Caenorhabditis elegans: one gene and its partner. The protein of the gene in region 1 purifies or fractionates together with the protein of each later gene. This does not show direct contact. Each region holds a gene or a part of one and is shown on either strand. Other genes may lie near its edges. The genes, in order: lat-2 and K07H8.8.

Region 1 (15,757 bases):
TGTAGTTTTAAAAAAAATTTAACTTTTTTTTTCAAAAAAAGTAAAACATTAATATTCAAAAAATTAAAAATATTATTTTTTAAATAGTTAAAAATTCATTTTTTTTTGTTGGAAAAATTGAGAAAAAGATAAGAAATTTTGTTTGGTTTTTTTTAACCGCCAAAATTCAGGTGTACATCAATTTTTTTGAAATTTCTTAAAAGTTGGAAAAAAAATTATTTTCAACTTTAAAAGGATATTTTAAAATTCGAATTTTTTCAATTAATAAGATTTTTTTTCCAGATTTGACGTTGAAAACGAGAATGTTTTAACTGATGAAGATGATTCTGACGGTGAAAATACGCGAAAGCGAAAGACACCAACATCCAAGAAATCAGTCACATCAACACCGACTACAAATGATATTTCCCGTGTCATAATACCAAATATTAAAGAGAAAATGACATTAATTGAGACATTATTGAAAGAAGCAATGCGTCAAGAATGTTCATGGCCATTCCTTCAACCAGTTGATTCGAAAGAAGTTCCAGATTACTATGACGTCATCAAACGGCCTATGAATTTGAGAACTATGATGAATAAGATTAAGCAGAGGATTTATAATAAACCTATTGAGGTTGATAGTTTTGAAATTTGACAATATATTTGAAAAAAAATATCCAAAAAAAATTGCTTTCTGCAAAAAAATTTATATTTAAAAATTAGCATTTTTGATATAATTAAAATTTTTTAATTAAAAAAACAAAGCATTAATTTTTTTTTGTTGAATTTTTTTTGAAAAAAAACCGCCAAAATTCCAGGTTCGCAACGACTTCCAACTAATCCTATCAAATTGCGAGACGTACAATGAGCCGGAAAATGAAATCTACAAGCTTTCTCGAGAACTTCACGATTTTATGGCGGATCGTCTCGATGAGATCATCGATCAATAAACATATTCATTTCATTTTTCTGTTACTTTTTTTTCTTGAATTTCTACTTTTACCCCCCTCACCTATCAATTTTCATACTTAAAAAAAATTCAAAATATCCATATCGTAAATCCACACAGACTACACAAAATCGTATCTCAATTGTTTTTTTTCGCTCTTTTTCTCTAGCTCTCTCTCCTTTACTATTTCCTAGAAATGTACTCATTTTCTGTTAATTTTTTTTTACAATTTTTTCGTTCACATTTTCTTTCTCTGTCGGTCTTAACTCAACCGCTCCCCCGTTACAAAAATCTCAGTCAAAAAAAATTAATTTTGACACGTCATATTTGTTGTTCTTGAGGTCCCCCTGTGACTTTTCAAAACGTTATTTTAATTGTGCTATTTTGTGTCAACTACTGATGAAAGTCATTGAAAATGAACTCGTAAATTTGAAATTTTAGTTTGAATTTTCGGTTTAGGAGCAGTTTTCAGTGTAGAATTAGCACTATATATTGAATTTTAGAATTAAAAAAATCGAAAAAAAAAATTTTTTTTTAGGGTTTCTTTTTAAATTTAGAAGTTCAAAATGGAACATATAAACTTGCCATTAAAGGGGCGCGGCTTAATAATATTTTTCAAATCAATAAATTTCCAGCTCCAAAAAAATGGCTTCCCAAAAGTTAACAAAACTGTTCGCCAACTCATTTAAGCTGGCGACAAGTGATCTCGCAAATCAATACGCTCTACCGGTTAAATCAATGACTGGAATGATTGTGAGCAAGTATGGTGCATCGAAATCCAGGCGGCTCAATGAGAAAGTCGTTGAGAAAATGGATATTGGGAAAGATGATTTTCTATTTGAAATTGGATTTGGACGAGGAGATGCTATGAAAATGTGCTTTGATCGGGTTAAAGACGGCCGGGGAATGGTAGGTGGAGAGGGTGTAGGCAGGCCTGCCTGAAATGCCTGAAAATTGTAAAAATCTGTAAATCGTGGCCTAGAAAAAGCAAAAACTCGGCCACCGATTTATTTAATTTTTTTCCCACAGACTAATCTGAAACTTTGCCACCCGATAGTGGCCGAGTTTTCTCTTTTTCGCGGCCATGAAGCTCGATGCCGGCTAATGTATTAAAAAAAAACCCAGTCAGATGCACCATGTCTTCACTTTCGCGGTGTGCATTTTGCCACGTGTGGCCTAGAAAACAACTCGGCCACCAATTTTAATCGTATGTTTTAAACAAATTTTTACACCTTCTAGGTGTCCCAAAACAACCTCTTTTCTCGGCCGTGGCCGAGTTTTCTCGCCTCACGGCCACGTAGCAAATCTGATCATTTTCACATTCTCTTTTTCTCTCTAACACCTAAAATTTCCAGGTATTCGGTGTTGAAAGATCCGGCTATATGAACGAACGAGCCATCAAACGATTCGTTCTGGAAATCGCCGAAACCGATAAAATCCGCATCGATTCGGCAGTTGATCTACGGAATCTACCGTATCCCACTGATCTATTCAATCATGTATTCCACGTGGATCTCTTCTATTTTCTACAACAAAATGCACTGGTAAACATTAATCGGGAACTGCTGAGAGTTCTGAAACCCGGTGGAACATTGATTTGTGGAATGCAATTCGATCGGTTGAAGAAATTGACGGAAAATCGAATACTTGAGGAGAATCAGTGGGATCCAATGAGATATCTGTGGGCACTGGAAACGGCGGAATTTAGTGATGTTAAAGTGCTTATTATATTGAGGAGCAAGCGCGCTCCACTGCAAATTGAAAACTCTCCGCCCCCAAACCATGGGTCTCGTTAGGTATTTGACTCCAAAACCGTAAATTCGAAAATTAAAAAAAACTTCAAAACTACAGTATTCCTACAGTGTCCTTACAGTACTACAACAGTACTACTATAGTACTCCAATAGTACTACTACAGTACCCCTACGGTACTCCAATAGTACTACCACAGTACCCCCGTAGTACCCCTACAGTATTCCTACAGTATCCCTACAGTACTTCTACAGCACCCCTATAGTACGAATACAGTATTCCTACAGTGCCCCTACAGTACTCCTACAATACTCATATAGTACTACTACAGTATTCCTACAGTACCCCTACAGTACCCCTACTCTACTTCCATAGTACTGCTACAGTACCCCTATATTACTACTACAGTACCCCTACATCCTACTGTACCCCTATAGTACTATTACTGTACTCCTACAGTACTACTACAGTAATTCGCGGTTCGGCCGCCAAATACCTAACGAGACCCATCATTCGGGGGCGGAGCATTTCCATTTGGCCATGGAGCGCGCTTGCATCACGATTTCAAAAAGCAACACTAAATTCCAGATCAACTACCATAAGGACCCCCAAATTGGTGAATATCAAATCATCTCGGCTACAAAATCTACTGATCCTCTAGCTGGACAAGATCCTGAAGAATTAATGAAAAAATTGGCGATGGATATGAAGAAAGAACGACTGGCCGAAGCGATGATGAATGATAAAAAGAATTTTGAAGATCTTTAATTTTTTCGGTTAAAAATGTTTTTTTAAAATAGGTTTTTAATGATTTTTTGTTGTTATTTTTCGCTATAAAAATAGGTACTTTTGAAAATTTGTTTGGAAGAGTAACATTCTTTATTAGTGTGAAAAATTGGAAAAAAGTTTAAAAAAATTCAAATTTTCGCGCCAGTTTCAACACTAGATTTCCCATGCTCAGGTCCCGGTGCAATTTTATTTCTGAATATTCCACTAAAGTACAGATTCAGTAATGGCATGGATATTTCCGGGAAATGATTGAAAATTTGAAATGTTGATGCGAAATGGAAACGAGCATCGCCTTCCTCAGAATCTTGTTCGAAATATTTTGTCTTCATAAGGATGTCGTATGGAATTATTATAATCTGAAAGATGTTAAATTATATTCCTACAGTACACAACTATAGTACTACTACTGTACTCCTACAGTACCCCTACCGTACTCTATAGTATTCTTACAGTACTCCTACAGGACCTCTACTGGACCTCTACAGTACTACTACAGTATCCCAACTCAATATCCCTTCAGAAGACAACATGTTTTTCCAAAAACTACAGTATTCCTATTATCAAAATATAAAAACTGTCACATAAAATTTGACTACAGCGACGCACGCGAAATATTCGCTCTCGATTCTAGAAACGTCAGTTTTTGCGCTGTATCTTCGCATTTTCTCGTCTCCCGTTTCTGTCATCACCCGTGGTTCCAGCTGTTTTTACGGCATGAGGAATCGAGAGCGAATATTTCGCGCGCGTCGCTGTAGTCAAATTTGATGTGACAGTTTTTATATTTTGACTTTACAGTATCCTACGTTACCCCTAAACCAATATCCCTTTAAAAAAAGTATTTTTTTCCAAAACTACGGTAATCCTACAGTAGTTCTACAGTATCCCCATATAACTCTTACAATACCCCTACAGTACTTCTACAGTACCCCCCCCCCAGTTTCCCTACAGTACTCCTAGAGTACGCCTACAGTACGTCTACAGTACCCCTACAGTATATCTAAAGTACTGCTACAGTACCCATACGGTACCCCAGCTCAAGATTTCTTAATTTGCAGCAATCCTAAAATACCTTTACAGTACCCCTAAAGTACCCATATTCCCTAACCCAAAAAACTCACTAAATATAAAATAGATGTGATAAGTATTTCTATATGAACACTTTTCTCCTCTCTAGACATATTTGTGGTATTTATAAGAACCTTTTTATTTTTCTGTCTCTTCAAATAGTACAAAATCATATAACAAATTATTGATGCTACTGGAAACAAATGAAACATGCGATGGATACTCTAAAATGTTTTTAAAAGTTAAAATTAAAACTAAAGTAACCCTTATTTACCTTATCACTGTAAATATCGCCGTGTCCGTTCCAGGGGTTTTCGAAGAATCCCAACCACAAGATAAATATTCGTTTTATTTTGAAATTTCTCAAACCAAGTATTCCAATAGTAATAGAAAAAGATGCACTGAATAGAATAAGAATAACAATTTGCACGTTGCCAAATATTCGATGATTCCAAGTTTTAGAAAAAAAGCAGAACAATTGGTTTAACGACATTTGAAATATAATTGTCAGGCAGAAAAATCGACTACAGTAATCCACGAGAAGAGAAAATTGAAGGATATCTTCTAGGAAAAGGGAACTTTCAGATGTCATTTCCAGCATAATTATTGCGAAGATTAGGAATGATACTCGGAATATAATCATCGATGATCGGACAACTGTGAATGCAAAAAATGGGGTCTGAAATGACAATTACTTGACAATGTTCGGTCAACTTTCAGGAACTTTTTTGGGATTTATTTTTTCTCTTTCTCTCCACCAAGCCTAAGCCTATGCCTAAACCTAAGCCTGAGCCTATGCCTAAGTTTAAGCCTGAGCCTATGCCTAAGCCTAAGCCGAAGCCTAAGCCTAATCCGAAGCCTAAGACTACGCCTAAGCCTAAGCCTAAGCAGAAGCCTAAGTGAAATCCAAAGCCTGAGCCTAAGCGGAACCCAAGGCGATTCAGACTTACCAACTTCAAGCAATTCTTCTTCAAAATAAATATAACCATAAAACTCTGAACCATAACGTTCAAAACTTCCAAAACCAATAGTAATATAATTTTAATCGAATAAGAATTATGTTGTGATGGGTCTTGAAACGGCTCCGGAGCACATATAATTTTTACACAAGGGGGTGTAGGGAGTACAAGTGGAGAAGTAAAACTGGGTGAGGAATTCATTTTTGGAAAGTTGGGAAGTAAAAATGATAACTAAAGCTGAAGTTTTGATCAAGAAAACCGTTGAAAAGATTGTGTTATTTAGTGTTAGCTATAATTATACAACTTTATATGTAAACTTTTAAACAAAAATTCAAGATAAAGTTCACAAATTACGTGATTTTTTTTAATTTTACACAAATAAACTCTCAACAAAAAACAATGAAAATAACTTCACGTGAACTTCTTGAAAAAGAAGGAGGGAACAAAAAACAACTACGTGTGTCCAAATAATCATCAAACATTTATTCCAGAAATTTTCAACTTTCTGCTGCAGATATTCAATTTTGCTGTTCTTTCAGTAAAAAAGTATCAAAATGAAATGTGAGTTTACACCTTTTTCTGCATATTCCAATTCTGCTCGATTTCAGATTGGAAATTACTATTCATTGGATTTCTAATTGTTAATTGTCATGATAATATTCCAACGAGTTTAACTGCACAATTTGTCAGTGGAAATGCAACAGGAGCCATTGTTACTAGAAGTGCTCCAGAAGGTCAGTGAATGGCTCGTAAATCTTAAGGAAGCGGACATGTTTTTGGCCAATTACCCATGGTTTTCTGAGTTAGAGGCTCTGACATCTTAGACGGTGTCAATTTCTAGAAGAGTAGCTGCCACGTGGAATTTGTTTTGAATTCTGTGACGTGGATTATTGATTTTCTTTTGAAACTACGTGGCAGCTTATTGAGAGTTCACGAGTACATTTCCATGTAAATTAAAGTTAATCATATTTCATGAGAGTTTTTTTCTTTTCTGGTTGATCTCTGAAAAACGCCAAAAGCTTATTTTTTTTGAAAAAATATAGCGTTACACATGTTGTTGCCTAGTTTCAGAGATTCAAGCTCCCTTCTAAAAATGTTTAAAATGAAATCATTGCCTCTGGTTTTTTGTTGAGATTGTGTAGAATAGTTGCCTAGAATTACCACCAACTCTAGTTCGACAAATGCGCCTTGGGTAGAGGTTCCCTTGAATCTTCAAATCTTTTACCTCTAGACTCATTAACTTCTATTTCAGATTCTTCCCTCGATCGAATCTCTGAGATGCTCGCTGCTCATGCTCGTCTAACTATTGGAATCACTATTTTGGCGGATCTTCTCGAACCATCTATGATCAGTGTACTTGCTGGATTTTTCAATATTGAGGAGTCAAGTATCAATGGATTATTGAAAATTGATCAATCAAAGATCAAAAGACTCATTGGAGACCTATCTAAAATGAAAACTTCTGAAATGGATTTTTCCAATTTGACAAATGGAATTGAACACTTAGAAGAGATGTACAAGGAGTTCAATAGTTTGCCACCTATATCGACAGACAATGAAGACGTGAGAGCGCCGTCCTATAAGAAAATTATAGAATTGAACGAATTCCCTGAAACGAAACAAGATGAATTGGAACAACTTGGAAAATATTCGGGCGCAGTGACAACATTGAAAAACAATGTCGATTTGTATCCCACATATATGAATTGTACTATTTCGCCAAATGTTGATAAGAATGCAGCCGCAACAGCCTTCCAAAATTTTTCAACCCTCATGAATATAATTCTTGAACCTTGGGAGAACTTCAAAAATCTCGAGCAGGAGGATTTTACGACGGTATTTAAATCTGTCAACAAGAAACTGGAAGTTTATAAAAAGGTCGATCTAACACGTGTGTCCGCGACTCAAGTCGGTACAGGAGTGGCGATATCACCATTCTTCTCGAATGTTCTTTCGTACTTGGAGTCATCACATGCAATCAAGTTCATCGAAAAACTAACAAATGCTGACAAGAATACTCTGAACGATTTAAGAAAGTGGACTGGAGCATTTCCGGATGAACTTCTGAAAATCGAAGATCTGAAGAGGGATATCAATGAAACCTTTTTGAAAGAGACACTGACTGAAGACAATTCTCCATTGGATGCTCTTTTGAAAACTCTGCAACCACTATTTGACTCCGATTCTGTCATAAAAACATTCTGGACTGCTCTGGAAACTTATGATTATTCAAAAATAGCGGACACAATCAAAAACCTGGATTCTCTATTGAAGTTGCTGATTGAATCAGGAAGTTCTTCACAAGATTTTACCAATTCATTGTCAACGGTTCGAAGAATTGTGGAATATGCAAAGTTGATCAACACCAGCAATCCACAAGTGACAAATTTTGAGAATGGATACATTGATATTCTGAACGCCTTAGGCAATTTGAGTTCTCTGAAATCCGCTGTGAAAGAATACAGAGGAAGCGACGAGTTCACAAATGCTGCATCTTCATCCGTTTCAGGCTACCATTCACGCGTGAGAAGTATGGATAAATCTAATTGTTATTTTGTGATTAAAAATGACAATTTCGACAATGCTGACAAACATTTCCCAAAAGTTGTCGAGAAGCTCAAAAAATTCAACCAAGAAGCCATGGAACTCAAGGCTCTCATTTCAAAGATCCCAATGTGGCAGGAGACAACGGAAAACTTAGAGATGTACATAGATGAAACATTCGGTCCATTCAAAGATAAAATTAACACCAGTCAACAGGATCTATCAAAAGTGAAAGGTGGAATCGGGTTCGTCAATCTACATAAAACGATGTTTGCTACTGGAGAAACCACTGTCGACCTGAATGAACTTCAAAAGATCAAGACAACTGGTGTGAACAATGTTCAGAAGAGGTTGGACGGACTCAGTGATTTGAAGACTCAATCTTTATACAAAGAAGTTATCAGATTCCGAAAGAATTTTCGTCTCCGAGAGAAACTTATCAGTGGATCCATCTTATTCCGTGACATGTCCCGACTTATCAAGGAATCAGAAGTATTCGATAAACTAGCAGAAACTGGAAATGCTCTTTGTCTGAAAGTGGTGAACACGAGTTCCGAAGATGTCCCACGGAATGAATTTTTGAAGAAATTGGATGTTCTGAATACAACAACTCATCGAATCAAGGATCTTCTTGCTCATGCTTTGAAACTCAAAAAAAGATATACAGACGTGTCAAATACGGATTTATTGCATGCAAGATTCCTTGTCGATAACCTTGTGAACCTTCCAAATCCAGAATATAAAGTTGAAGATTGGACAAAATTTGTTGATATCTTGAATGGAACAAATATGGCAACTGCATCCACTGAAATCTCTGAATTCTCCGAAGCAATCGAATCCACTTTTGATCTGGACTTTACTGCTCATCAGACTGAAATTATTGGTACTTATTGGAATCTTCGTGCATTGTTGAGACTTCATAGATCACTTGTGGCTATTGATCATGTTTCGTGAGTTAATTTTAAACTTGTAATTCCTCAAATATACATTTTTTTCAGACAAAAATCCTTCTGGGAACGTTACAATCATTGGATTCAGTTGTCGATGCTCGTTGGTATTCTCAGTTTAATTAATATCGTTGTCCTGGCTCTAATCAAAATCAAACTCAGAAGAGATGCACAAGCTGAAAAAGAAGAAGATGAAGATTATTATTGATTACTTGTTTCTAGCGTTCCGATAATAAATAGATTTTTGAAAATTCTAGAACTTGCATTGATCACGAGATTATCTTACCTCAATGCCATTCCGTAATCAACATGTCATCCTAATGCACGAGATGGGGGACATAGAAAAAGCATCGGCCGTATGTATTCCTCAAGTGCTCATCAAACACTTTGGCACCACGGCCAACGCCTTTTCCTTCCTACCACCTCCGCTCTCGAAATCGTTCCATTTCTTTTTTTTCAAAACTTTGATTTTGTATGGCAAAACAGCTAAAATATCCATTTCTCATATTCATTATTAGTTTGGCTCAGTGCCAGGTTTCCAACCAAAATGTGAACCTTTGCCAATCAAACATTTGTCAAAATGGAGGGACATGCCTTGTGGCAAGTAGTGTCCCCGCAACGGCGACTTGTCCCAAGAATTCGATTTATTATATGGGATCCTGCTACGTTTTCGATACGACTTTGAGGAATTGGAATGATGTGAGTTGGGCGGCACATTTTATGGCATGCCTGCCTTCCTGCCTGTTTGCCTACAGCCTATTTTTTTTGCAGTAGGTTTTTTGTTTACATCGGTCGTAAGCGTAAGGCAGGCCGGCAGACGTTTTTGTGACTACACGTAGGGCTTACCTTTTAGACATGCATCCTTTGGATTGCTCCACTTAAACGGTTTATATCTTTGGCTTTAGTTTTATCAAAAAATTTTAACTGCCAAAATATACATAAATATTTTGTGCGTATTTTGCCGGTTGATTTTTATTGATAAAACTTAAGAGCACCGAGATATAAGCTCACAAAGAAGAGCAAAAACTCTGAAATTTTTCATCGATTTTTTTTGTTGGAAAACCCTTGGAAATAGAGGTTTTAGAGGTTGTTAGTTGTAAGAGTCCCAGACAATTCAGAAAGCTCTAAAAAAAACCTGAAAATTAAAAAATTTCCAGGCAGCCCTCTACTGCAACAACATGAACAGTGCCACACTTCCCCTCGTCGAATCGGCTGAAGATCAGGCGTTCTTTGCTGGTTACCTACAAGCCATGATTCCATCTAATCCACGTAATAAGCTTTAAGCTTTATTTTTAAACGAGCTTTAATTTTTAGCAGCCGATATGCGACCCCCACCAGATGGAATTTGGACTGCTGTGCGTGGAGTTAACAATGTGACGCGAGCCTCTTGGGTTTATTATCCCGGCTCTTTTTTGGTAACTGACACGTTTTGGGCGCCACAGGAGCCGAACATTTATGTGAATTATAATGGTGAGAATATTGTTATGGTCTAATTTTGAAAACTTTTCAAATTAAGTTAAATCTAGTGAATTTAAAAAATCAATATTTTCTGATTCCAAAACTTTTTAATGAAAGTATGCCAGAAAGTCGACAAAACGCAACAGAAAATTAGCAATGCGCGTCAGAAGGTTGGTGCTTAACGAGAGAAAATTCCTGACGTGCTCCAAAAAGTTGAAAGTTTGCTGCAGAGTCCGCAACTTTCGTCAGAAAGTTTACCATCTGCTGCAACAGAAATAGCTAAATATAGACAGTGCGCCAGAAAGTTGATAACTTCCGACAAAAATCTGGAACTGTGAGACAAAAGTTTGAAATCCGCCACAGAAATGATACCGTTTTTCGACAGAAAGATTACAAATTGCACCAGTTACCTAAATTTTTAATATTTTAGACGTCTGCGTAGCTCTCCAATCCGACTCCTTCTACCGTGAATGGACCACCGCCCTGTGCACCATCCTAAAATACACAGTATGTAAAGTTGCTCCAACGCAGATCCAAGCCAAATACGTTGCTCAATGCTCATGCCCAAATGGATATGGAGGTCAGACTTGTGAGACTCAATCGACCACGAATCAACAAGCATCTACCCAAAGAACATGTGGAAGCAATGATTTCCAATTTTCATGTCCGAACGATCAAACGATTACTGTAGATTTTGCGTCATTTGGTGCACAGGTTAGAGATCAAAAGATTGAGTTTTTTTTTTGGAAAAAAAGGAAAAGAGTTTAGGAAAGTTCAATGTGTAACCAGGCGAGCCAATCGAGAGAACAAACTTGCTCAAATGTCAACTCACTTCAAACAGTTATCAATGCGTAAGTGAATTGATTTTTGATTGGTAAGAGCTCGCCGAGCAGTATTATAGTTTTAAAACTGAAAATTTGAATGCAAACCTTCAGAAAATTGTTTCAAAATCGCAAAAATTATATATTTTCTGGCATAAAACCCAAAAAAAGTATCCTCATCATGGCACTACCGTAATCCTTTCGCGCTTTCTAGTAGAGCAGTAAAAATACCTAGAGCAGTAAATATTTTCCAGATGCCAAGGCCTCCAATCTTGTGAAATCCGAAATTTAACGAGCACATTTTCAAATACACCATGCCCAGTTCCCCAGGAACAATATTTGGAGACACGGATGAGATGTGAAACTGGTGGGTACCACTGAGCAACTATGTACTAAAATTGGAGTATTTCCAGCTCAACAACCATCTTGCTTATCCGGGCTCATTCAATTCGATAGCAGGTGCTACAGTATGACAATTGAGACGAACGAGAAGAAGCAGAGAACGATGGAAGATGCTCAGACATATTGCTCACAGAGTGTAAGAAAAACTAACCTTTAAGAATTTACTAGAAAATTAAATTGGTTATGATATTTCCAGGGTGGATCTATAATAACCTCACCTCCAGACGCATTGCTCCAACAAATTGTACAAAAAGTGAATGCAGAGACGAAGAAAACCGTGAATTTTTGGATTGGAACTCCCAATAAGTAAGGTTCCACGTATCAAATTATCTACCAACTAACCTATTCCAGCTGCCAGCTCCTAATGGTCACCGGCTCCTCAACATCCTACTCCCAGTGCCCATCATCTCCATCTTCAACAGCCAACGTCATCTGCTCCACGGTTCCCCAGTCAACTGCATCTGTGTCAGCACGTCCTACACAATCGGCTCCAGTTGATCCTGTATCTCAAACTATGGCTCGGAGAGAGGTCTACACCGGGGTTCAGCCGTGAGTTTTGTTTAACATTCAATGTATTTTGGAAGAAATTGAGTTAGAAATGTGCAAGTTGGATGGAGCTCGGAGCCGGGTTAAGAAAAAATATTTTTAATTTAAAAAAAGCGACAACTGGCCTGTGAGAAAATTGCCTTGCACCCTTGCTCCAGTCACATTTCTTTTTGGATACACTTGCTATTGAGCCACTGACTCCGTTTCAATGGCTTTTGACCTAGCAATTTGTGCCCAATTGCCAAAACTCCGGTTTTCCCTGACCTCACCTGAATAAACGCCATTTGCAGAATTGCGAGCGCACTCGGGGGTCAATCAAAAAAAACCAATCGAAAATTAAATAATATTTGCCAAACAAAGATCGGCGCCCCTCTCTCTCTCTTCCTTTTCTCTCGCAATGAGGTTATAACCGGTTTTGTGTGTATCTCTCTAATCTCTGCGTCTCCTCAAATCATATACTATCTCTGTGCCGTAAGCTTGATTTGCCAGTGAGTCACTAATACTTAGTCCGTCTCGGTTGCGCATTCATTCCGTTTCTCACACATGTTTTCGGAATGAGCCGAGCATCAGTGGTTACTGTAATATTCCTTGGGATAGTATTAGTTGATAGTCTTGTAATTTGTACATCGGAACCATCTAGGTATGTAATCAGTGTGACATTAAATATTACAATAAATTAGAAACCGGTACATTTGTTGCAGCCAAAATATCTGCAAAATTTTCTTATTTTCTGAAAAAAAATTAATTAAAATTGCAAATTCCCAATTTTTAAGGCCTGCATCTCAGAGGTTATGAAAGATATCAAAATGTTTTTAACTGATAAAATATTTAAAATTTCCTTAGAAATATTTTGCCAGTTGACAACTTTTTGATATCTTAACTAGTTTTGAAGTTATCTACAACTTTGATTTCCACAAAAATAATTTGGAATTTTCAGTCCAAGTGTTCCGGATTCAATCAACAAGCCAAGATATTGCAAGAAGGAGAAAAAAGATGGTGAGAATTTTAAAAAATTGATTTTTCTAAAATTTTGATATTTAAAAACACTAAAACATTTTGCTTTTTTTTAAAGAAAATATCCAAAACATTTTTTGCGATTTTTCCAAAGTTTTCGAAAATTTTCAAAAAAGCTCTACCTCTTAGAATCAGCTGTTCAATTTAAAATTTTTCAGAAATTGGTTAAGTATTTTTCTGAAATTTTATTTAATTTTTAGATTTTTTTTGTTTGAAAAATGTTCTGATTAAAAATTGAAAATTTGGAAAACATTCAACATTTTTACTTTTCGAAATCTTTTAAAAGCGATTATTAAAAAATTCTTGAGTTTTCTTGAGAAACCCTAAACATTGAAAAATTCAACAAAACAATTCTTTAAATTCTCACAAATTTTCCAGGAATCACATACGAACAAACCCGTGCATGTATGCTACACGAACAACCTTGCCCGGATCCTCAGAATGTCGAAGGTACAGTAACCCGTTACTGTAACTGTCAGACTGCAAAATGGGAGACACCGGATACAACTAACTGTACACATCGATGGGTGGCTGAAATGGAAACTGCAATCAAAGATAATCAGCCTGTTGAGGATATTAGTTCTACGGTTAATAGGCAGTTGAAGTGAGTTTTTGTGGAAACCTTTAAAAATGGAAAATTAAAAAAAAACATCAAAATTCGAAAATGATTTTTTAAATATCAGAAATTCGAATTTTTATACTACTAAGAATGGAAAATAAAAAAAAACAATAGGAAAAATGAAATTCTCAAAAAATCTAAATACCATTTTAATGAGGAAATCTGAAATTTGTTTTTTAATCCAGTAGCCAAAAACAAATAAAGTTCAAAACCAATTCCGTAATCGGAAATCCGAATTTTTATATTCAATTTTTTAGAATCAGAGAATCTCCAAAAATACTTTTTTTAAACCCGAAATATCAGAAAATTGGAACTAATTGTAAAGTAAAAATAAAGTGTTTTCTATAATCCAAATTTCCAGATCAACAATCGAGCGTACACTTTTCGGAGGTGACATCACAGGAACCGTCCGCCTGAGCAATGACATGCTCAGCCTTGCTCGAAACCAATTCAGTGTCCTAAATGACCGTAATCTCCGTGAGAATAAAGCAAGAAACTTCACAGAGAACCTCGGTGGATCCGGTGATCAACTTCTTTCTCCAGTTGCTGCAACAGTTTGGGATCAACTTTCGAGTACGATAAGAATACAGCACGCGTCGAAATTAATGAGTGTTCTTGAGCAATCTGTGTTGTTACTTGGAGATTATATGACAGATCAGAAGTTGAATTTGCAATATATCAATTGGGGTGAGTAAATTTGCCAAATGTCATGGAAGGTAGGCAGGCGTTGTATTGCTTTTAAGGCAATATTGTTTATTAATTATCTAATTTTTTAGCCATGGAAGTCGAGCGTTCTGAGCCGGAAGTTCAAACTTTTGGTGCAGCTGCTTCCCCAAATGTTCAAGATGACATGGGAATGATGAGGTATTTATTTGAATTTTTATTTTTTTTTCATTTTATTTACAAAAATTTGAAAAAAAAAGCAACAAAAAAGTTCAATAAATGTTAAATTTGTGACGCGGGCGACCGATGAACCGATGAACCTGTGAAATTTGATACTTTTTGAAACCTTTTGGAGATGGCAACTTTGGGGATTTTGCTCTTCATTAAAATGTTAAAAGCTCTAAAAATACACTCTAAAGTTGCTAAATTTAATAGAATGTTATTTAATAGAAATGAATGAAAATTTAATAGAAATGTTTAAATTTAAATTTGGTAAAACCTAAAAATTGTTGAACTATGTAATTATGGCAATTGATCAGCCAAATTAGGTTAATCTAATAATATTAATTCAGAGTAATGGCTGCAGCTCCACCTGCTCCACAACCAGAAACCAATACCACCATCATGTTCCCATCCCTTAAATTATCTCCAACAATAACTCTACCATCAGCTTCACTTCTAAGCTCCCTTGCTTCTCCAACTCCAGTTGCAGGTGGTGGTCCAAGTATTCTATCCTCATTCCAAGATGACACTCCAGTTGGAATGGCTTCTACTCCCAATTTAAATAGGAATCCTGTTAAACTGGGATATTACGCGTTTGCCGGATTCGGACAACTCTTGAATAATAACAATGATCACACATTAATCAATAGTCAAGTGATTGGGGCATCAATTCAGAATGCAACTCAAAGTGTTACACTTCCAGTTGATCATCCAGTTACTTTCACATTTCAACATCTCACGACAAAAGGAGTTTCTAATCCGAGATGTGTTTATTGGGATTTGATGGAAAGGTACGGGATAGGGAATGTATTAAAAATTACAAATTTTGGTTTTCGAAAACTTAGTAAGCTTAAGCCTAAGTCTATGCTTATGTCTAAGACTGAGCCTGAGCCTAGTTAAGCCTAAGACTAAGCCTAAGACTAAGCCTAAGCCTAAGCCTAAGCCTAGGCTAAGTTTTCGAAATTATTTTGCAGAAATTTCGAGCTTTAATTTTTATTTTTTCCAGATGGTTTCGATGCGAAGTTT
Region 2 (15,757 bases), on another chromosome or scaffold:
AAAAAGCGGTTTAATAATCTTACAATCGTTCGTGCCATTTTCACGTTTTTCCATCAAACGTAGATGACAATCTACATATTTATTTGCGAGGCTACTTTCCTAACACTTCGCGCTAATTTTGTTTTTGATCTGTTGAATTCTTAAACATACTACAAACGGAATCGCTAATCAGCAAGATTTCTTAAAATATTTGTATTTAATAAATAAGTGTTTATTCTTACTTGTTATATTATTCAGAATGGTACTATCGAAAGTGCTCATATCCAATGGACTGATCGTTTTGATGACTCATTTGCCTATGCCTACACGAACGAAAATCGGACAGATTTGAAGTTTTTGTAAGAATGTTTTTGTAAGAATTTGAGCAACGACGTGTTAGTCATAAATGAGCAGAGATTGTATTATCCAAACACCTACAATTTTCCTAGACTCGAAAAGAAAATTGTTCTGATTGTGAGAAGTATGAGTCAAAAATTATAATTCTAGGCGTTGTTGGTAAATTGTGGAAATTCTAGATATTTTCTAATGGCATGATATTTGCATGAAGTCAAAAACACCAACTGCTACTGCAGTGGTCGCCAAAATTTCAAGTTGGAAAATTAATATAATTTCAGATATGACAAGCCACGCCCTGAACTATTCGTCAGCAAAAACTTCATCGTGGACGCATTCACTCAATTCATGGATTTTTTCCAGAATCGAACAAAAATTTCCAGAATTAGTGTGACGCTTCCATCATTGACAGATGATCTCAAGAAGATCACAAAACGAAAAAATTCCGTTAAAACAAAACCAGCAATTGATAATTTTCGTTTCAACTCGTATGATTCATTGTTGTACAACGAACTTTTGAGGTTATCTACCGGAATCCCGAAACAGTTGAAAATTTCATTTTTCTACTATCCTGAGCGGACTGAGAAAGTTCTGGACGGTACAATTTTGAATCATCCCAAGGTTCGAGAAATCACTGAACTGGATCTTCGTACTGTTGAAAGTGATATTAATGATGCTCAACTTCATCAATTGGAATGTGAATCTATTTCTCTGAGATCTTCCACGGTAACCAATGCAGGAATTAACCGAATTTTAAAGGTAAACATGTATCTAGACTCTGTCAAATAAAAATGTTGTATTTTGATTTCAATCACATGATTTTTCTTCACCACTTCATGAATTGAATCTTTTGAACTATTTGCGAATATGAATGAAAAAATGTAATTAGAGATGTTATCATGTAGGCTACCATTTTTCTTTATTTCCCAATTTCTCTAATGTACTGTGATATTTCTGAATTTCTGCAAATTGTGTCATTCTTTTTGATGTAATATCAATAAATCATCAAAATTTCTGTGACTTTTTAAAAAGTATCACGATAACATCTTCATGCGATCGTTGCCCCTGTTAAAACATGCAATCATACGAACTTTTTCTATTTTAAGGAATGGCAAGATGGATTACGACCGACTCGTTATTTGAAACTAGTGAATGATGATTTACAAAAGGCTGAAATTATGGATGGAGTCTCGAAACGAACATTGCAACGTGGCGTTTGGGAAATTAAGAATCGATTCAACGCCTCGGCTACTGTAACCGTAAGCCGTGTGCCGACTAATCTATATGATTCAAAGCCGACGTTTGAGTTTGCGGTTTCTTAAAAAATCATGGTAAAAAATAAATATCAATGTTATATTTTTTTATTTATCTATTGAACCATTAAATGCATATAGCTTGTCTAATGAAATAAACTTGATAAGTAGCCTGTCATAACACATGTTCCGAGAGCACCGATAGCACGCCGCTTGTTTTGCTCTGAGCATCCGTTGGAGCTCAAAAATCTCAATTTTGAAACTTTGTTGCTTAAACCCCATATTAAATTATTTCAGAACATTTTACTTAAAAAAAGACATGTCTCATTCGAAATACCGGTGGCACCTTCACCTAAACTATCGTAGTTGCACACATACATATGGTCAAATGTGATCGATTGGTAAAGAGCGAACACACGAGAAGAGAACTCATTACTCGGCTGTGATGATGGTCATTTGAGGCTGTCATTTGACGGTGGGAACCGCGGGGGTCTCTCTTCGGCAGTCTTACGGGAAAATAGAAGGCGGAAAATGCGCGGAAAATGAGTGAGAAGGAGTTTTTCAATGAAAATGAAAATGAGAAGGTGGCGGGCTCCAGTGCAGCTTTGATTGCCTTCGGAAAGAAAGAAGGGCATGGTGTAAGAAGATTAATAGAAGAGTTCATTAATTCTCTGTAAAATCGTCTGTGTAAAAAGTGAACCTATCGATTTCATCTCCAAATGAACTTGTTCATGATCATAGAATCCAAACTGTTATACTCAAGAGACAATCATCTAAAATACTTTTATAGGTATCAAAAAACACAAGTATTCAAAAGAGAGTTCACATTGCAATGGTGCTGGCACCTCCAGTTGTTGTAGATGATCCAGTAGTGCCACCAGTAGTTCCGGCTGTTGTTGCGCCTCCCGTGGTTCCACCAACGGTAATTGCTCCGGTTGTAGTGTTTCCGAATCCAACTCCAGTGATTCCACCAGTTGTTCCCGAAGCATCACAACCGTAACGTTTGTACATGCCGCGGTACCTAAATATTAAAACTGCATATCACCAAATAATTAATCTTTTTAGATAGTGAAACTAATAATTAGCCAAATGGAAAGGGTTGGCATGTTTTTTCTTCAGACTGAAAACATCTTAAAAACTCACCAGAATCCATACACTGTTCTTCTCAGAACGTAGAAAATTCCACCGATAATAACAGTCCCGAGAAGTGATCCAATAATGAAACCAACAAATAATCCCCATGCCCACCACTTTCCAGGAGTATATGTATTAGGATTTTCCTCCTCGTTGCTACCAGTTTGATAATCGGGATTATTAATGTAACGAACTGGCGGAACGGTTGTTGTTGGAATGTTTGGTTCGATCTTCGGTGGTGGTGGAGCGAGAAGCTTTTCTTTTCCCTCCCCAGTTTCGTCTCCGCTTTCTCCCTCCCCATCAATCTTATGCACTTTGCCAACATCCTTTTTACTGATGAAGGTTTTTCCGATTTCAATGTTCTGAAATAAATGTTTAAAGGGGTTTTTTTTTTTCAGAAATACAAACCTGAGAAATGATTCCTTTGTTTTCTTTCAAATCATCAGACTTTTCGAAGAAGAATGCCACTTTCGATGCTGCTGTTGCATCCCACCACTCAGAATCAGATACAACGACTTCACGGAACATGTTGGCCACATAAAACTGGAAAAAAATATTTAAGTTTGAAAGGTTAGATTTGCGAGAATCGCACAAAAATGCTGTATTCAGAGATATCTGTTTTTTTTTCAAAGATAAAAAAAATGTTTTACTTTCTGAAAATTTTGGCCAAAAATTACGATTGGACATTTCAGACAGGGCTGATTCAACACTCAATCCAGGATATTTCAAAAATGAATTACTCATGAACTTTGTACAAACCTCTCCTGGAAGTTTGCCATTAACTTTATCTCCATAACCAAATCCAACTTCGATTACATAGATTTCTGCATCCGCAATTGCCCGAGGCTTCAGTTCCATCATCGAAGCACGTCCACTCTTTGGCCAAATGACAAGTCCGTTACGTGGCATAATGTACAACTCGAACTTCTCTTTGCAAATTGGAGCACGCTTATCATCCAAAAAATGTTCAGGATCAATGCAAAGTTTGATTCTAAAAGTTAAAAATTCCAAGTTAATTTCAAAGCATCATATCATACCCTTGTGTTTTCCCTTTCAAGTAGAGAAGAGTCTTCCAACTTCCCGCCTTCATCGTCAACTTGACAATATAATACCTTAAGAATCAATCTATGCGCCTTCTTGATTATTAAATGCACAATTATTAACTGCCATACAACAGCTTTCACTTTCTCACAAAATCCACATGAAAACAAACACCAGCCACAGCCAAAACGCAAAACAATTATCGATCAGCTGGCACTTTTTTATTTTCATTTATCTCAGCTTGACGTTCTCGGTTTTCTCTACGTTTTCCACCGAACTGCAGATTTGAGTGACTGGAGGATTGCTGCGGCTCTTTCATTTTACCATGTTTATCCGTGGAGCGCATTTGAAGCCCAAAAACTTTCAAGCTCCTGTCCAACTTATACTCACCTATCATTTTGATCTCCGTGCAACTTGTTCACAGCTTGTACTCTTTTGGTCGAGAATCACAAGTTTGACTGATTGACGAATGATGTTCAATTCGCAAAAAGAAGAACTGATTCGTTTTAATTCTGAATTGGCAGATTAACTGATTGATAACAATCTTCTACGTGGCAAGATGGTTTAGTAATCCAATGAGGCTTCACGGATTAATTGAAAAAAAAAATACATGAAGAAATTAATTAAAGAAGTGAAAGGCTATATTTTAACTTCACAAAGTGACCACGTTTCTTCAATTTTTTAAATACAAAAATTTTTTTAAACAGGGATTTGTTTGATTTGTTTGACAATGAGAATGTTCCGCCTCACTCACTAGTCAGCTACTCTTTTTTACCATAGCTATTAGGTCTCCAAATAAGTTCCGGGTCAAAAATCATAACTTTGTTCGCTGCGTATCAATTTTTATGAAACTTTGGGAATTTATATTATCAACCATGGTCTTTCATTTGACAATAGTCACAAAATTTTTTGACCACCCCAAGTGGCCTAACTCGGAGCCAATTTTTTCAGGCATTTTTCTGATCTCGCTTTTTTTCAGTTTTCAATTGAGCTTTGTGTGCGATTTTGCTTTGTTTAGAATACATTATTAGAAAACAACAAAAGTTTGGAAAAAAATCCGCCCAAAAAAATTTTTTTTGGTTGGTCGTCAAAAAATGTTCAAAAAAATTTTTGTCGAAAATTCTAGATTTTTCCTACAAAAAAGATGTAACCAAGTGTAAACTATTTTTACACATATAAATCATTTGAGTTAAAAATTTGAATCTCAAGAAATATTCAAAAAACTAAAAAATTATCCGAAAAAATTGTATTTTCTACTATCATTTTAGTGTATCGAACTAAATTGATATGTTTTGTATGTCTAAAAATAGTTTACACTTGGTTACATCATTTTTGTAGGAAAAATCTAGAATTTTCGACAAAAATGTTTTTGAACATTTTTTGACGACCAACCAAAAAAAATTTTTTTTTCTAAACTTTTGTTGTTTTCTAATAATGTATTCTAAACAAAGCAAAATCCGCACACAAAGCTCAATTGAAAACTGAAAAGAAGCGAGATCAGAAAAATGCCTGAAAAAATTGGCTCCGAGTTAGGCCACTTGGGGTGGTCAAAAAATTTTGTGACTATTGTCAAATGAAAGAGCATGGTTGATAATATAAATTCCCAAAGTTTCATAAAAATTGATACGCAGCGAACAAAGTTATGATTTTTGACCCGGAACTTATTTGGAGACCTAATATTTTTTTTTCTCGAAAATTCGTTATTTTTGAAAATAAAAATTTGAAAAAATAAAGATTTGAATGATATCCCAAAATATGTCTTACAGGCTTACATTAAATATGATTTTTCCGTTATATTTTCTTCTAATAAGCCTTACAACTTTTATTTTTCTGACTGTCCCGTTGCAATAAAGCCAAGGGTATGAAAACATTCCCACTGATTTCCCCGAGGTTCGTTTTTTTCTTTTTTTTTCTACCATTACAGCTTATCTAAGAAATAAACCTAAGAAAATAAAAAGAAATAGTATTCGTATCTTAAAATAAGCAAATTAATCTTAAATTTCTCTCAATTTTCCGTCTGCTTCGTTCCGAGACTCGCTCTTTAAAAGTCGGCAATGTCACACAAAATAAATTGAGACTGATGTATCGGATGAAAACGAGTTTTCAGAAAATCGCGGAGGAAGGGAAAATGACTCAGGAAAAGCGCTGAAAGATTTTGGCAGGTAGTTAAAAGAACGAAAAACCTTGATGCGGTCAATGTTTTAAGTGGCATGTTCTTTTATGCCATTCGATGCTTGGTTGTTTGGTCTTAGTTAAACAGTTTATCCTGGACGAGTTATATGTTTCAGCTCTTTTCACATTTTTGTTGCAATTAACCAAACCTATTAAATACTTATGCCATCCTTTCATATAATTTTAAAATAAATTTTTCTGTCACTTTGCCGCTCCTTTACTACCAACATTAGTACAACCCTTTTTACACTAAACAATTCTTTCGGTTATGGTTTATCAAACTAAATACAAAGTATTCTGATCTGTTAGACAACCGGATAATCCAATAGTTCCCTTTTTGCTCAGAATATAATGTTTAAATATTTATGTATTTACTTTATTTGATTTTTTCGTTAGGGCTTCAACTGTGAATGAGAAAAATTACCTCATGCAGATTCTATTTACTCAAGAGCTTTTTTCTCGGTCAAATACATAAAACTCACCCGTTAATGGTGTTTTCCGATACCTATCAGATGACCTATGCCGAAGATCGGAAGCCTTTATTGCGTCTGGATAGTGGTGAAGGTGGCGACATTGATGACTTGGAACATTTCACGGAAATGTTGAATCCCTATTGCACAACTTCAAATAAATTTTATTACGGAAAAAAGGGTTTGTTAAATTTTATTTTGTTTGCTTATTTTTACTGTTTCTAACAATGATTTTACATTTAGCTGGTTTTTGAAATTAATAATCACACTATAAAGTTTCATATTTGAGATGTTTCTGGTGGTGTTTTTCGAAAGTCTTTTTCAGCTATAGCATTTAAAATGGGAAGTTACTTCTAAATGTTTTATTTATTTTCAGAAAGGTATATTCCGAAAGCGGTTTTGGTAGTAATGGGCATATTTTCAATATGTTTCAGTATTGATAAATATCAAATATTAATGAAAGAAATTGAATCGAAAGAATGTAATGATGTACTGGCAGAATGCAACAATATACCTTTTAATCAAACATTTGTTCCACCATTTTATGATTATCTTCAAGATTTTACAGTAAGCTCCGCTAGGCCACAGTTAAATCTAAGCCCTTTCAGATTTCTCCTCGTTATGATATATCTCTTTGTCTTATTCCAAAAGTTGTGTCTACAATCGGAACTGCCGCAATATGTTACATACAAGATCCGGAGGCTTTCACCAAAAACAACAGAACAATATCAACGGAAATGTATGGTGGAAGGTAAGTTTGAGCGGTGTTGGTTCTCAGCAGTTACAGCTGGTTCCCAACTAAAACTGAATGAATTGAATGAAAATTTAATCAATTGCAGATTTTGCGAAAACAATGAATTGAAATCTTTTAAAATGGTGCAACGCAGTTTGAATTCTAACTTTGATAATATAATTTTCACACGAAATCCCTATGATCGGTTCATTTCAGGATTTACCGAGAAGTGTGTAAAGTAAGTTTAGATTTAGAGGATAATATCAGGATCTGCAAAATATAAATTTTAGTAACACGGACACAAATATTTGTCACGGATGTGGAACCGACATCCGATGTTTCTTGCAGAAAGAATATCGACGTTTAATTAGAATGAGTATGCTATTTCCTGTTTACACTGGAGCAGACACACATTTTGCTCCTCAAACTTGGTGAGTTCTCAACTTCATTAAATTCTTCATGCCAGGATTTTAAGCTGTCTTTTGAATTCATAAGAGGCTACAAGAAGACAAAAGACATAATGTCTCGCTAAGATCAAGATAACAGTTTTTGTCTAGCCTATTGCCTAATTCATGTTTCCATTTCTCCTAGTCATGAGAATCTTCAAAAATTTAAACCAAAAGATCGTTCAACGGTTTCTCAGGTACTGCGATATGAAAAACAACATCAAGAACTCAACAGTAATACAATATTCGAGTACGGGGACAGAAAAAATAAAGATGATTGATAATTTATTGACCGTTTTCAAAAATAGAAATGTACCAGAAGAAAATCTGAACGAAGTCAGAGAAGAACTTTCAAGTAAGCTTTTTTTAATTGCATTCTTGATTTCATTCAATTTCAACACTTTCAGAAGGAAAAACCCAGCACTCAACATCTGGAACATCTCTACGACTTAAATATGAAAAGCTTATTGAAGAAGATGGAGCTATCAGGAGAGCTTTACAGAGAATTTATTACTATGATTTTTTATATCTTGGGTATTCAATGTAGACGGGTTAAACAAGTAACTATGATTGACAGAAATCGGACAATTTTCCCCGGTGTTGCATTTCAATTGTATTTCCGTATTCTGATTGTTTCAACATAAACTTTATGTTTCTAAATACTCGGCATTTTGCCATAGAGTTCCCTCGCACTTCTACAGAAAAATCTGAACTCTTTGTGAACTCTGACGACGTGCGAGAGGAGACTGTAGAAGTGAACTCTGTGGCAAAATGCCGAGTTGTTTGAATTGAACAGTTCAAATTGGAATATGTTTAAAGTAAATTTTCCACAAACAAAAAATTGTTGAAATTGTTTATTATTGAAATCTATAAAACAATTCAATTGACAAAGATAGTCCTACGATGTGTATGATTGTGAAGAAGAGGTAGTTCAATAGTCGAACTTGTCGCACTTCTGGTCGACGGCGACGCGAACGGTGCGCTCCTCCATTTGTGGTTGGTCACGAAGGTTGCGGAGCTTGTGCTCTGGCCATTGGGCGAGTGGCTCACGGCGGATCTCGCGCATTTGACGGCGAGCCCATGAGTTGGAGGATGGGAGGCAGTAGACGGAGGTCTGAAATGTTACAGAATAATTGATTGAAATGTATAACTACTACCACCTTTTGCTTCTTGGACTCCTGTGACTTTCCGTTTTGGCAGCGAAGAACTGGCTTCTGGGTGAAGCAGATCTCGTGTTGACGCTCGACAATAGCGACTTGCTCAGTTGGCTCATCGTCTTGCTCGCGGCGAGATTCCTCGTAGTTCATCTCTTGGTCCTTCTCCTCCTCTTGATTTTTCTCAATGCGTTGGAAGTTCTCCTCCTTCTCGAACATCTCACGCTCGTAGTTGCACTTGGAGTCCTTGTACAAGTAGCTCTTGGCGAACTTCTGAAAATTGAGATGATTATTGTTGTGTATCAAAATTAAGAAACTTACTGGAATGGTGTTCTCTTGGTTCTCAGCATCATAGAATTCGGTTTCCTTCTCGTTGTCGTAGTGGCCGCAAAGTCCGCATTGTTGGTTTCTGTAGAGAGCGGAAAGGTGAATACGGGCATTGACTCCATCGAATTGAACAGTGACATCATCAGAATCGAACTTGAGTGTGTTCTTGTTAAGCCAGATGATGTTGTATTGCTTCTTCTCAATCTCAGATTCTGGTTGGTACTCGATTTCTTCTCCGTTGACACGGCAGATGAGTCCTTCCTCAGTCTTGTACATTTCAATCTCGTTTTCTCCGTAGACAACCTTGACGTTCTTCCACTCCTTCTTCTCGTTGATCTTCTTCATAAGGACAACGAAACGGGGCTCGCTCTTCTCAGATCCACAATCCTTGGCGAGAACGGAGTAGCATGGGGTGAATTGGTTACGGTAGGCAACTTGGTCGAAGGTGTTGATCTTGGTGCTCTTGACAACACAGTTGGCTTGCTTGGAAGCGTGATGGGCGATCTTCTCCATGACTGGCTTCTGCTCGTAGCGGGAGTTTCTTGGCTGGTAGTGGATTTGGGCAGTTGGAAGTCTGAATGGAAGCTCGACACGCTCAAGAACGGTGGTCTCCATTGGGGTCTCGATAGTCATGTTGACAGTTAGACGTTGGCGTGGTTCAACATTGATTGTGGCACGGATCATGTTCTTGCGGCTTGGCTCCTCACGGGTCTCGATTCTGGAAGTCCATGGGTATTGGGTGCGAAGATAAGCTTGAACCATGTTCCAGTATCTGGCGAAGTATTGAGCTGGCTTTGGCTCGAACTCGTACTCAACAACAGTTTGGTATTGGTCAAGTCTAGATGCCTCGAGAAGGGTCTCGTGCTCTGGGGCTTGCTCAATTTGCTTGACGAACTTCTTTTGTTCTTGGGATTGTTGTCCGTTGATGTTGATGTGAATGGTGTTCTCTCCGTAGTTCATCTCTCCCATAACAACGAGTTGACGGTACTTTTGCTCCTTGAGCTCCTCAACAGTCCTTGGGGTTTGTGGGTAGACGTATTGGATTGTAGCCTTAAGCTCTTCTCCGCGGATTTGGGTCTTGCAGAAGTGGAAGTCATTGTTGCAGACAGCCTCAACCTCCATCTTGACAACCTCTGGCTTGATTTCGAACTTGGCGACGTGTTGGTAGACCTTCTCGTTTTGGAGCCATTCGAACTTCTTTGTGATCTGCTCACGGTGCTCTTCCTCATCGTATTCTGGCTCAGCCTCAAGATATCTTCTTCCGTTATGCTTCTTGTATACCTTCTCGTAGTTCTTCTCCATCTTGTAGTTGTTGTACAAGTTAAGCTCAAAAATAGCCTCGTATTGCTCAACATTTGGCTTGTAGTAGACCTCGACGTTGCTGTCAACTATCCATTGTGGGATTCTCACGCTGGTTGGGCGGTTGAGAGTTCCTTGAACACGGATTTGTGGGTATTCACGGTCAAGAGATTGGCTGAGTTGTTTGTGGGCTGGGAGCATGTAGGTCATCTCGATTGGTTCTGGGTATTGACGAGCATCTGGGGCGACAGTGCGGGTGAAGGTGACTGGACGAGATTGGATCATGGCGATTCTCTTCTCCTCGGATGGGGTGTTGTAGATAGCACGGATAACAACCTTGTCTTCCCAGTTCATTCTGATCTCAGTGTCAACTGGAGTATTAAGGACGGCTTGGTGAAGGAACTTGGTTCCGACCTCGGCGATTGGGCAGATAACTCTAAGAGAAAGGACGTGGGTGGAGGCTACACGTGGCCCAGCTTGAACACGAAGGCGAAGTCCGTCGAAGCTCTTTCCGTTCTTTGGCTCAAGCTCGAAAGTTACTTGTCCGCGGATGGAGGAGATGGTTGGCATCTTGGAGGTGAATTGAACTGGAAGTCCCATTGGAGTTGGAACTCTGCGGACGGTCTCGTAAAGGAAAGCAGCGTTGGAGGCAGAGAAGTGGATTCCTTGGGCAAGGACTCTCTCGATATCTCCGATCTCAAGTCTTCCTCCTTGGATCATGGAGCGGACAACCTCTGGGATTGAGTCAGCATCAATTGGAAGGAAGGCGTAGTCCATATCACGGTGTCTGATGTAGACAAAGGCATGTGGATCTTGCTCAGATGATTGACGACGGGTGATGCGAAGCTTCTCGAGAAGGTTGCTCAAGAATTCAGTTGGTTGGAAGGATCCGGAAGCTCTCTTTCCGCGAACAACGATTTGTTCAAGTCCTTTTTCTTGAACATTGGAGAGAAGTTTCTTGATGATCTTCTCCATATTCTTCTGGGTAAATCCGATTTGAGCGAAGTATTGGTTCCATTCTCCGGAGAGAACTCCTTCAATCGAAGCCATCATCTCGGTTGGGAGAACAGATTCGGTGGTGAAGAGGGAAGCAAAGTTAGCTTCGAATCCGGATTGGTGGCGTCTGGAGTAGGTGGACCATTTTCCATAGACAGACTCGAAGCGATCAATCTCTTGGGATGAGAATGGGATGTTGTTGAGAAGAGATTGAACACGGGAAGAGAATGTCTGCTCGCATGGAGACTCGTTGTTAGCATAAGAACGGAGAAGGGAGAGGGTGAAGGCACGAACTTGTTGGTTGCGCTCTTGTCTGAGTTGGTTTCCGATCTGGGAAAGGACGGACCATTCTGGTTGAGTGTAGATGATCTGATGGAGTGCAGACATGCGGATGTGTTGTGGTTGTTGACGGTTAAGGTAGACTGGCATAAGAACACGTTGAATCTTTGTTGGCATCTGGGTGCGAAGACGACGGAATGACTCGATGGCTTGTGTGCGGATGGTGGTTTCGTGTTGCTCGTTGAGAATGATCTTCTCGAGTGGGTAGACAGAGAGATCAAGTCCGGCATTAGCAAGGGTCTTCAAAGCAAGAACCTTCTCGTAGCGGGTGGATGCAGATTCGAATTGTTGGACGAGCTTGTCAACGATTCTTTGCTTAGCATCACGTGGGCACATCTTGACTCCATTCTTCTGGACGAAGACTCTTGGGGTTTGTCCGCACACTCCATTGACAATAGCTCCGTAGGTGAGCCAGCAGGATTGACGAAGAGCTGGGAAGCTTGAAGATACATCGGATTCGCAAAGGCGAGCGATATCTTCAGCAATAGCAAGAGATGGGTAGCGCATGTCGACGAGTGTCTTGATGGCAACGGAGGCTTTGAGTGGAGCAATGTTCTTGCGAGATTGAACCTTGTCAACGAATTGTTGAATGGTGACACGAGTTCCGGCGAGAGCAAGGGTGTTGAAGTAGATGGAGCGAAGTTGCTCAGCAATCTTCTCATCCTTGTGCTCAGCGACGTGGCGGTAGATTTGTTCGAGTTGCTCCTCGTTGCACTCACGGAGAACCTTGACGATTCTGGCAACAGTGTGTGCAGCCTCAAGCTCAGCCTCTCCTTGTTCGATTTGCTTGGCCATCAAAGAGAACATCTTTTTGATCATCTCGACCTTGTTCTCGGTCCATTGTGGGAGTTGTCTAAGGTACTTCTCCTCTCCAGTTTGAGCCCATTGTTGCTCAGCCCATTCGGATTCCTGGTTGTAGACAAGCTCGGAAGTCTTCTCATTGCGGACTTGCTTGATCTCGGTCTTCTTCTCTCCAGCATAGATAAGCTCCATGGTGTTCAAGGTGAAGGCAGAAACAAGTTGATGCTTCTCGGAGATTGGGGCAAAAAGGTGTTGGGAGCGAAGTTCAACGGAGTTGATGAGGAAGCTTGATGAAGTTCCAGTGATGTTGTAGTTGAGAACTGTGGAGCTCATCTTGTCTTGCTCAAGAGTTTGCTGGCAATCCTTGCACACTGGAGTCTGCACGTGATGGATGTATGGGCGGCGGGTACATTTGTCGAAGTTGATCGACTTAGCCCAACGTTGCTCATCCTCCTTCTTGATCTCTTCAACGGTGTAAAGGACCTCGCATTCTCCTTCGAGGGTGCGCTGAAATTCAATTATTCAAATTTCGAACTCAAATATATATGTATATTTAGAACTTACCTCAACATTGGTGAAAGAGAAAGTTGGTTCTTGGTTGTCACTCTTCTCAGCTCCTTCGTACTTCTCCTTCTTGAGGATGTTGACTTGAAGCATGTTGATGACGGCTCTCTTGATGTTCTCTGACCATGGCTGATCGTTCTCAGCAAAACGGATCTCTCTGACAAGTCCGTGTTCGTAATCAAACTCAACTGGCATGCTCAAAAGCTCTTGGTGCTCACGGTTCATGCGCTCAACCTCCTCGAAACGCTCGAATGGGAGCATCTTCATGGAGTTGGACTCTTGCTGAGAGGTTGCGAAGCGGGTCTTCTGGAGTTGCATGCGGACGGTGTTTCCATCAGTCCATTGGAGGGTAACTTGAGATTGAAGACGTGAGATTCCTTGTGGGGTAGATGGGACTGGAAGTCCGGCAGAGAGCTGGCCATTGAAGAGGTAGCGGTACTCGCGTCCGGCGCGGAATGAGCTGAAAAGGAGTACAATGTGATTGATATTTTTGAAAATAATTGAAATATAAAAAGGGTCAACTCTCAAAAATGATTTAAAAAGTAACTTACGATTCTTGAATATTTCTCTCGATGGAGTTGTAACGATCCAAATGGGTCGAGGCGAGTGCCGCTCCCAAGAGAGCAAGCGCTATGAAGAACTTCATAGTGATTGATCGATCTAAGTGACCGAGTGAAGAATACATGAAGCTCGTGTCCTTTTATACATACTCTTAAACTTCGACAAGATGTCCATCGCAGCATGTTGCAATTCTGAAAGTAGCTTAGAGACCATGCGGATTGAAGAGACTCAGCATGCTTATCAGTCATTGAGACAGGTGTCAATTGTTGAGTGCGGGAGAGTGTCAGTAATGTTAGGTACCATTTTGGGATTGGCGGGTGGCTCCGATGAGGGGAGGTGGATGGGGAGATGGTTTCTGGTCAAAGTATGACAATTTTCTTTGACAGTTTAGTTACATTTTCTACTTTGAAATTGCAACACTTTCAACATTTTGCATCTGACTTTTGGTTAAATTGGGGGAATAAAATGATGCCATTATAGTCATGAAATGGCAAAAATAACAATGACCTTAGCTTTGCGAAGATGTGAAATATTGCTTCAAAGGCACCTGATGTTTTCTATGTGGGTCACGCCTTAGTCATGTGGCCAAACCAAACTGTTCATGAAATGTGGAAGTATAAAAAATTTCACAAACTATAAAAAATAGCAAGATTCACAATAAATTATTCTGCTTCTAGTTTTTTGTTGCGAAATGATAATATTTTTCAGAATACAAATAATTTAGATATTTCAAAGTTCTAAAAATCCTACAAACTTGAAACAATTAATGAACAAGGCAAGAATTTCGGTTTAGTGGCAAAGGTGCATTTTGAACAAGAAAAAAGTCTATCTGAATACTTTGCTGTGCATTTTCCACTACTTTAGAGGCCCGTAAATTTTTTATTTTTGAAAAAATTTAATTTTGACTTCAAAATGTTTTAGTAAAAAATTATTTTTTAAAGAAATGTTGTCAATGGATGTTTGTACATTATGCACCACAAATCGGTGTTTTTTTAAACTTTCTAGTTCTGCTGCTAACAAGGTTTTGTAATGATATTTAAGATATCCCCTTTTGAATTAAGTTTTCATTAAAAAGTCTGATTGTGAGCTGAAATACTAATACCTAAATATTTCCGTACAATTATGATATTATACAAATCTCAGTTATGACGTGAAATCATATTTAATATCCAATATTTGTAATTTGTGGATATTCCTTATCTTTAATTAATCTCTGGCAGATTGTTCAAAAATTACTAACTCATTTTCAAATTTCAAAATTTGGTGAGATTTCCAACTATGCTCTCAAATTGGAATAATTTCTATATTCATCTGATACTTCTCAAATCACAAATCTTTTCAATGGCACTCATTATATCACTGATTTCTGGAGTTTTGATATTATGCAGTCAAAAAGGTGGAGGATCAAAAACGAAGAATGCAGATTCTCGGTTTGTTTATTATTTAGTGCAATCCTTTCTGTGGAATAATTAATTTCACCCATTCTGTGCCACAAAATACAATTTGTTTCCAGTACAAAAAAATCAGCGTCGACTTCTATTGTGTCTCCAATTGAAACAACTGCAATACCAAAAGATAGTGTGATGGTAAAACCAGAGCCACCGAAAGAAGAAACAAAGAGTAAGAAAAGTGTTATGTAAGTTTTTGTTTCCCTCAAATGAAAATTGAAAAGCTAACAAATTTACTTGAAACTCTATTTTTCAGCCAGAACTCTATAAAAATGCTTCGTGGAAAGAAAAACCTTCAAAAAGCAACCACATTGCAAAAGAAAACTGAAACGGATTCACAGCATACTCAAGTTATTAACATGGAATTAGGAAAAGCTGCAGGGTTGGTTTTTTTAATTGAAATTTTAACCAATTATTTGTAAATTATTTCAGATCCGAGAAAGGAATATCCAAATTAACAGTCCCAGAAGAGCGGAAAATTGTTGAGAAGCCCAATGGAAAGAAGGTGCAGTTTGCGGATAAGCTGATCAAATCAACGTTGACTCCGACTGAAAAGAAATAGATCGATTTAATGGAAACTTGATTATAGTTGGAAATGAAGTATGATTCAATTTAGATCGATTTTTATTCTATTTGGAAAAGGACAATCCCGTTACTAAATGCATACACGACAGGATCCATGGCGC

Evidence for each region.
Region 2: the proteins of lat-2 (region 1) and K07H8.8 fractionate together in Caenorhabditis elegans (co-fractionation; one large-scale study listed by BioGRID). This does not show direct contact.

What each region holds. Positions count from the first base shown.
Region 1 is NC_003280.10:4,349,622-4,365,378, forward strand, and holds the start of lat-2 (Latrophilin-like protein LAT-2), read left to right. Parts: upstream 1-9,443; 5' UTR 9,444-9,460; coding exon 9,461-9,685; intron 9,686-10,143; coding exon 10,144-10,255; intron 10,256-10,300; coding exon 10,301-10,456; intron 10,457-10,874; coding exon 10,875-11,158; intron 11,159-11,212; coding exon 11,213-11,295; intron 11,296-11,519; coding exon 11,520-11,632; intron 11,633-11,678; coding exon 11,679-11,803; intron 11,804-11,863; coding exon 11,864-11,973; intron 11,974-12,018; coding exon 12,019-12,216; intron 12,217-13,150; coding exon 13,151-13,209; intron 13,210-13,605; coding exon 13,606-13,831; intron 13,832-14,207; coding exon 14,208-14,533; intron 14,534-14,622; coding exon 14,623-14,710; intron 14,711-15,081; coding exon 15,082-15,522; intron 15,523-15,757. Other genes in the region: athp-2 (Bromodomain adjacent to zinc finger domain protein 1A), read left to right, coding at 283-616, 801-932; H20J04.9 (Methyltransferase domain-containing protein), read left to right, coding at 1,577-1,840, 2,287-2,649, 3,271-3,450; H20J04.7 (Serpentine Receptor, class Z), read right to left, coding at 3,600-3,827, 4,590-4,760, 4,811-5,215, 5,487-5,696; H20J04.1 (uncharacterized protein), read left to right, coding at 6,050-6,056, 6,104-6,229, 6,748-8,989, 9,038-9,194. UniProt on the Caenorhabditis elegans protein: May have a role in pharyngeal pumping during feeding.
Region 2 is NC_003282.8:8,259,124-8,274,880, reverse strand, and holds K07H8.8 (sulfotransferase family protein), read left to right. Parts: upstream 1-6,468; 5' UTR 6,469-6,532; coding exon 6,533-6,584; intron 6,585-6,779; coding exon 6,780-6,970; intron 6,971-7,011; coding exon 7,012-7,154; intron 7,155-7,242; coding exon 7,243-7,374; intron 7,375-7,426; coding exon 7,427-7,567; intron 7,568-7,779; coding exon 7,780-7,937; intron 7,938-7,989; coding exon 7,990-8,129; 3' UTR 8,130-8,237; downstream 8,238-15,757. Other genes in the region: K07H8.11 (F-box associated domain-containing protein), read left to right, coding at 238-338, 615-1,092, 1,440-1,655; K07H8.5 (uncharacterized protein), read right to left, coding at 2,409-2,607, 2,730-3,082, 3,129-3,263, 3,480-3,711, 3,758-3,810; vit-6 (Vitellogenin-6), read right to left, coding at 8,514-8,696, 8,740-9,009, 9,058-13,005, 13,063-13,522, 13,614-13,708; K07H8.7 (Lipoprotein), read left to right, coding at 14,902-15,053, 15,137-15,259, 15,328-15,453, 15,504-15,633.